Cricetulus griseus: one gene and its partner. The protein of the gene in region 2 binds, or shares a complex with, the protein of the main gene of each other region. Links are inferred from orthologs where the notes say so. Each region holds a gene or a part of one and is shown on either strand. Other genes may lie near its edges.

Region 1 (4,277 bases), on a different chromosome or scaffold from region 2:
CATATAGACACAGACATACAAGACAATTTCCAGACAGAATGTCCCATTGTATAACACAACTTTATTCGCTAGAAACTTATGTGGTAGAAACAAATAAATAAAAGCACTATAAACCATTCCAAGAGCTTGTGGAACTATGGAACCACTGAGGAAGAGGTGGAGAAAGACTTAGGGAGCAGGCAACATTTAGGATCCTCTGCAATCAGGAATGGCCGGTTCTCTTTCTCCCCACACTTGCTTGGCCTGCTTTGAAGGTTCATTGCACTCTGTTTACAGAAGTTCAGTTAAGAAAAACCAGTAACACAAAATTAAATACAGCCTGGCGGTGTGCATGCCTTTAATCCCAGCACTCAGGAGCAGAGGCAGGCTGATCTCTGTTGAGTTCGAGATCAGCCTGGTCTACAAAAGCTAGTTCCAGGACAGCCTCCAAAGCCACACTGAGAGAAAGCCCGTCTCGAACCTCCCTTCCCCCTCCCCAAATTTAAATACTAATATCTTGCATTTTAAAAGCCTTAACATTTAGTTGTTATTTTTATAATAAATTTTTAAATGAGTACACATGCCCTGAAATATCATTAAGGATTAAAACTAGTTATTCATCTGAGCCACATTGTTAAAGACATTTTAATACTTTTTTTTTTAAAAAGAAAACATCCAAATATATCAAGCTTACCCATAAAATAACAAAACACTACAGCCAAGTTCCTCAGGAACATAGGATTCAAAACTCTCCCTGGAAGGTCACGCCAAACTGCACCATCAACCTATCAATGTGTGTAATACTGAGAACAGACCGGCAATTTATTCGTTGCTATGAGAACACTATTTTGTACCAGACATTGCAGCCTTGACGACGCAGTGTTTTGCGCCTATTTTGCACGTGTTTTCCTACAGCGAGCCCTCTCTCGCGATCCCGGAGAGAGGCCTGCTGGCTTCCTCCGGCAGCGGCCCACGTCCGTTTTCGCTCCAGTTTCCCTGGGCTGCGCAGTGGCTCCGCTTAGAGGGCGACCCAGGGGACGCACCGGGCCTGGCTGGCGGGCGAGCGGGAGGGAGGGCAGCGGGCGAGCGGCCTTACGGTTGTGAATGGGCCGGGGAGAAGCCGCGCTCTGCACGCGAGCTCTGCGCAAAAACAATACAAAACCAAACCGAAGCAGCAGAAACCGCAAATAAGTAAATAAATAAATAAGTAAATAAACAAATAAGCACACAAACGAGGCAGCCCCGTCCCCCGAGGGGGAGCGCGCAGCGCTTGAACTCTCAGGACGGTCACAAACAGGCCAAGGCGGGCTCCGGAACTTTATTAATAAACGACTCCCCTAGGCCGCAAGACCCCGGGGCTGGGCTGGGGGAGCGGAGCGGGCCCCGGGCGGAAGCGGGAGGACCCCCGCGCGCCGAGGGGCTCCCTCCCGCAGGCCGGGCTCGCGCGCCCCGCAGGGCTTGTGATGGGCATCTCCCAGGCGACGGGCTCCGCACCAAGATGGCGGAGGAGAAGGAACGGGAAGGCACAGGTAGGAACGCTGCCGGGGCCTCCATCTTGAGCCCCTCGGCGGCGCGGGGCGGCGCGGCGCGGCGGGCAGACGGGGGCCGAGGAGCGGCGCCAGCCCGCGTCCCCGCCGTCGGCTCCGCCCCGCGGCCCCTCCGCCCCGCCCGCCGCGCCCTCCCATCCCCCGGCTGAGGTCCGCGCGGGCTGCGGCCGTGGCAGCCGCAGGGGACCTTCATAATGGCGTCCTTGTTCCCGGGGCCTCCACGCCCGCCGCGCCCGGGACTGTGGGGACCCGGAGGCCGGCCTCACGGCGGACGCGAGCCGGCGCCGGAACCGGGCGGGAGCCTCTGCGGTCGCGCCGTAGCCACGCCCGGCCCGGCCCCAGGCGCCGGCCGCCTCCATGTTGCCTCCTCCGCCAGGCGGCAGAGCGAGGCCTCGAGGTCACACCGGGCCGTGCTCGCCCGGGTGTCGCCAGAACCTCGCTTAAAGGAAGAGATGCCCAAATAACCGCTTTATAATAAGAACGGAAAGGAAAACCCAGCCGGGGACCCGTCGGGGCCGCCCGGACCCGCCGGGTTCCCCGCGCGTGCTGGGGACCGACCGAGGCGGCTGCAGTGACCCGCGAGGCCTCCGGGGACCCCGAAAAGCGACGATCCGCGTTGAACTGCTAGACCCTTTGAGTTGGCTTCTAACCCAGCAGCGTGACTTAAAATCGGGTCCGTGGTTAGCGTCCAGTGACCCAACAGCAATTACACCACAATTGACCGAAATCACCGCTCCATAAATCAGTAAATAAATACATAAAGCAAGCCCTAAGATAGTAAAGGGCAAATATTCGTGGAGGGAAGGTCACGCTCCATCTTTGTTGCAGTTTTTTTGAGTTTTCACAACGCACCATATCGACCCTCCTCCACTCTCAGTTTGGAACAAAGTAGTTAACTAATATTTACATGAGGTGTTTAGTCCATCGTCATGGTGACCGCAGAAAAGCAGCAGGGAAACTGTGAGACTGCCAGAGATCTGTTTATTGATAACTGGAAATTGAGATTTATACATGATAAAATTAATCTCAGAAGCCGGGATTGTAGTACAGGTTTAACCCTATTAAGGTATTAAGGTTTTGTGTTACTGCTTTAGAAGTGAAAGGAACACTCTTAAGAAAAATGTCCATGTACTTTTTTTTTTTTTTTTTTTTTTTAAGAATATGATAGTTGTTGAGTAGGGGGGTAGGGAGGATCAGGGAGGTGAAAGAATATGACCAAAATAATATATGAAAAAAATTTTCACATAAAAAAGCTTTCCCTTTTATTTAATTAGATTCTTATTTACCCCCCCCCCAAAGAAAATAAAAGGGAAAAAGAACTATTAGGAGATAAATTACATTTTTTAAAAAAGACTTGCTTAGGGGAGCATTGGCATATACTGCCAGTTTTTACAATGCAAGAAAATATATTCTTTTATTTACCTTGTGCCCCTGATTGGTTTGTAGAACTCAGTGATGTGATTAAAGGAGTATGCCCAGTCTGATTTTTAGCCCTAGAGAGAGGGAGGGAGGGAAGGAGGGAGAGAGAGAGAGAGAGAGAGAGAGAGAGAGAGAGAGAGAGAGAGAGAGAGAGAGAGAGAGAGAAAGAGAATGAATTCCTGATTCTTTAGTTAACAAAGCATATTTTTCAGCTTAAAATACATTTAGAGGAAGAAACAGTTCTGTCTGCAACTGTACAAGTTAAGTAGTGGCTGTTGAAAGCTGAATTTCATATATATTAAAGTTCTTGTATATTTAATGCTTGTTTGATGGAAAGTTAGTATTAAACTGGAGAATTTTGAGAAGACCAAACCTGTGATTGTCCAACTGAAGCAAGCTCTATTAAATACTGACCAGGAAGGTGGAGACTAGCCAGGTCTGTATTCAGGATTCCCAGAGAAATGGTGCTGAAATCAGGTCAGTCAGGTGCCTATAAAGGCCAAACCCACAAGGCCACTGTACTTTCCACCTTTGGCCAATGGGGGCAAACATACACCCTGTCCTATTTCCTGCCTAGGTAAATCTCCAGCCTCTCTCTGATCAAACACATCCTGTGCAGATGGGGCAACCAACCTTGTTTATTGAAGTGAAAATATGTGACTTGTTATCTTACAAGGACAACAGCCCCCAGCATTCCAGGAAGTGTTCTGTCCTTGGGCAAGTGGGGCTTGCAGGTTAACTTTAGCCTTAGGTGAAGTCAGAACTTAAGTGACTAAGAAGATGAGGAAGGCATTGGCTTTGCCCTCTCTATGGCCTCATCAGTAAGGGAGATTAGAAACATAACAGCTGGAAAACATGCCAAGAGGAGCAATAGGAAGGAGCCAGGGCCAAGATAAGACACCCCCCCCCCAGGACACACCCCAGCATCCTTTTTCATTCAAGAGACCTTACCTTTTATAGTTCTGTTCAAAGTTTTGAATCTATAAATGGATTAGGTTAGTGCCCTCAAGATCCAGTTGTCCCTGGGAAAGCCCTGAGACACATTGAGAGGTGTGCTGTGTCTCTGTCCAGTAAAGTGGATAATTAAGATGAAGAATTGCTAAAATGGGCGTTGGTGGTGCACACCTTTAGTCCCAGCAGAGACTAAAGGCCTGTAGGAGGCAGAGGCAGTCAGATCTCTGTGAGTTCAAGGCCATCCTGGTCTACAGAATGAGTTCCAGGAAAGCCTCCAAAGCAATACAGAGAAACCCTGTCTGGGGAGGGGGGAGGGAGGGAAAAATTGCTTGGAAAAACCTTTCTATGTGGTTATGTATGTGTTGATGTAGTTATGCT
Region 2 (3,512 bases):
CAACGCCCAGCTATGATAGTGATATTTCACATACAAGATTTTCTGGCATAATAGGAGCCCTTCTTGTGATTTTTTCCCCTTAAAACAATTCACTTTTATTTTGAATTGTGTGTGTGTGTGTGTGTGTGTGTGTGTATTCTCTCATAGGTGAGATCTGAACTTATATATACGCTCACCCAGGACAGGAGAGTAGAGGGGACCACAATGAGGGAGAAGGGAGTTTGAGGTCTGGGGACAAGAGAGTAGGGTCAGTAGACAAAGAATATTACCACATTTTCTCCTACATTTCCATTCCCCCTCCTTGTATAGTTTCTAAAACATTAGCTGTTTATTTTGCCAATGAGAAAACAGCAGCACAGAAATTTTAGATAAAAAACAGATAAATTTTAGTAAAAAACAGAGCCAGGATTGAGACACTGAAGCTGGCTTTACAGTCCAAAAGTGTCGTTACTGTCAGTAGCCCAAGCATTTAGCCACAGGTTAAGAATCAATTGGGAGACAAATGATGTCTTGTGGTTCCTCAGTACTTGAATTTAGGTCTGAAAAATATTTTGGCTTTTCTTATATAGCCCTCAGGATCTGAAATACATTACTAAATTTGGTACCAATTTTCACTTTTTAGTACAATTCTCCTTTTATTTTGTATAGTTTTATATTGTTTTGTATTATTGTAGTATTATTTGTATTTGTATTATTGTATTATTATTTGTATTTGTATTATTTGTATTTGTATTATTGTAGTTTTATATTGTTTTATATTTGTTTATATTGTATAGTTTTATATTGTTTTGTTGTCTGTCTCACTGTGTTGCCCAGTGAGTTCTCTCGTGACTCCACTCAGCCTTCCTTACCCATGACCACAGGTCCATGCCACTACGCTGTCTGTGTATATTGTGTTTTGCCTGCATGTGTCCCTACACGCCAGCAGAGGGCACAAGATCTCATTACAGTTGGTTGTGAGCCACCATGTGGTTGCCGGGAATTGAACTCAGGAACTCCAGCCCCGGGATGATCATGTTTATTACCAACCTTATTCCATGGAGAATTTGAGATGAAAGAAAATGAAGATATAGGGATTAGCTCAGAATCTGACATGCCCAGGCACAAAGCCTGGGTGTTCCATCCCCAATACAGAAAGAAAAAAGTAAATAAATAAATAAATAAATAAATAAATAAATAAATAAATTAAATGGTGTGAAGTGGACTGATGCCTCTAAGACACTGTCTCTCCTCTCATAAAAACCAAGATCTCATCTTGCTATTTTATACTTACAATATGGCAAATTTACAGATCACTGTGGGTTTTTGTTGATTTGTTATTTTACTGTTCATTTTTGGATTGTTGCTTTGTAGTTTTGAGCAGGGTCAACCTTAGCCAAAGCTGGCCTGAAACTTAATATCCTGCCAGGTGACCCAGAAATCCTGACTTCTGCCCTCCACCTCCCAGGTGCCAGGATCGCAAGCCAGAACCATCAGACTCTTGCTCTTTTACCCTTTGTGATGCTGGGGTTGGGTCCAGGGCCTTCCACATGTTAAGGATGTATTCTATCATGGGCCTACCCCCTCAGCCCCAAGCTTCACCTTTGCTCTTTGTCTTATAGTTCACCAGGCATTAAGTTAGGGGATGACAGAATGTGTGGAGGCAGGAAGACAAGAAACAGTGGGATATATGTTTTGATGGGGCTGAAGAAAGGTCTGTTTTCTTGGAGTATGGAATGTAAGTGGAGAAAAAGGTTGAAAAATACACAGCAGTCCTCTTAAAGTGTTGTCTCTTTAAAACAATTATCTCTAAAGACTTTCTTTTTAAGATTTATTTAGTTTGTATGTGTACGAATGTTTTGTTTGAGTCTATGTCTGTGCACCATGCACACCCACCGAGGTCTGAAGAGGGTGTGTGGGTCCCCTGGAACTGGAGTTACAGATGGTTGTGAGCCCCCACATGGGTCTTCTGCAAGAATAAGTACTCTTAACCCCTAAAACAGTATCTTTAACACCATTTATTTTCAGAAAGCAAGCCACGAAAAACCATCTGCGGTCTCAAGTACAAGGAAATTATCTCTTCCTTTGTCAGAAATGAAACAACGAGGCCAGGACTTAATCTTAAAGAAGCCTACCAGGCAGACCATCATAAACCTGGAGACACTGAAGAAAATTCAGAATGATAGGTAAGAAGAAGGGAAGGTAATCATACCAGCCAGCAGGTGTGAAAGAGGACACCTGCTTCTGTGAAGGTCCCAAAAGTGGAGTGGCACAGTTTAAAACATGGCCAGCCTGGTCTACAGAGCAAGTTCCAGGACAACCAGGGCTACACAGAGAAACCCTGCCTTGATAAACTAAAACAAGCTGGGCAGTGATGGCACATGACTTTGATCCCAACACTCTGGAGGCAGAGGCAGGTGGATCTCTGTGAGTTCGAGGCCAGCCTGGTCTACAAAGTGAGTTCCAGGACTGGCTCCATAGTTACTGAGAAACCCTGCCTTGAAAAAAATCAAAACAAAACAAAAAAACAAAAACCCAAAACAAGCTGGCTGGTGGTGGCGCATGCCTTTAGTTCCAGCACTCGGGAGGCAGAGGCAGGCAGATCTCTGTGAGTTCAAGAACAGCCTGGTCTACAAGAGCTAGTTCCAGGACAGCCTCCAAAGCCACAGAGAAACCCTGTCTGGAAAAACCAAAACCAAAACAAAACAAAAAACCCCCCAAAAACAAATAAAAAAAAAGCAAAACAAACAAGCAGCCCCCCCCCCAAATAACCCATGGTGCTGTATTATCTTGAACAAGTTAACGAGCTTTTGTTCTCCCTTTCCTCTTACTCTCCCTACCTCTTTCTTCCCCCTTTTCTTTTTCTTTTTCTCCCATTCTCCCTCTCTCCCTACCTCTCTTCTTTCTTTTCTTGCTTCGCGTTCTTTCTTTTTCAGTCTCTAGTCCCAAGTGGTCTGAACTCACTGTGTAAACCAGGCAGGCCTAAAATTTCTGGGCCTCTTGCTTTCTACTGAGTTCTGGGCTTACAGATCTGCACCACCACATCCTATTTTAGTTTGTAACTTTCTTTCTTTCTTTCTTTCTTTCTTCTTCTTCTTCTTCTTCCTTTTTCTTCTTCTTCCTTCTCCTCCTCCTCCTCTTCCTCCTCCTCCTCCTCCTTCCTTCCTTCCTTCTCCTTCTTTTTTTTTTTTTCCAGACAGGGTTTCTCTTTGTAGCTCAGGCGGTCCTGGAACTCGCTCTGGAGACCAGGCTGGCTTTGAACTCACAGAGATCTATCTATCTGCCTGTTTCTGCTTCCTAAGTGCTGGATTAAAGGTGTGTGCCATCACTGTCTGGCAGAAACTCTCTTCTTAATAGAGCTGTTAACTCTTTTTTGTATGAATTATTATTGATAAGTACAAAATGATAAATATAATTTTTCCAACTCTGTATCAAAACAAATTAAAAAATTAGGTTTAATTGGTGTGTGTGTGTGTGTGTGTGTGTGTGTGTGTATGAGTGTATGAGTTTTGCCTGCATATATGTATGTGAAC

The links.
Region 1: Iqcg (region 2) and Efcab2 share a complex: the UniProt entries of both Homo sapiens proteins name them as parts of the nexin-dynein regulatory complex. The link is inferred for Cricetulus griseus from reciprocal best matches to the Homo sapiens genes DRC9 and DRC8.

What each region holds. Positions count from the first base shown.
Region 1 is NC_048598.1:15,756,277-15,760,553, reverse strand, and holds the start of Efcab2 (dynein regulatory complex protein 8), read left to right. Parts: upstream 1-1,477; coding exon 1,478-1,508; coding exon of another isoform or gene 1,509-1,885; exon of another isoform or gene 1,886-2,396; intron 2,397-4,277. Other genes in the region: protein SOGA3, read right to left, coding at 1,301-1,885. UniProt on the Homo sapiens protein: Component of the nexin-dynein regulatory complex (N-DRC), a key regulator of ciliary/flagellar motility which maintains the alignment and integrity of the distal axoneme and regulates microtubule sliding in motile axonemes.
Region 2 is NC_048597.1:56,503,559-56,507,070, forward strand, and holds part of Iqcg (dynein regulatory complex protein 9), read left to right. Parts: intron 1-2,007; coding exon 2,008-2,165; intron 2,166-3,512. UniProt on the Homo sapiens protein: Component of the nexin-dynein regulatory complex (N-DRC), a key regulator of ciliary/flagellar motility which maintains the alignment and integrity of the distal axoneme and regulates microtubule sliding in motile axonemes.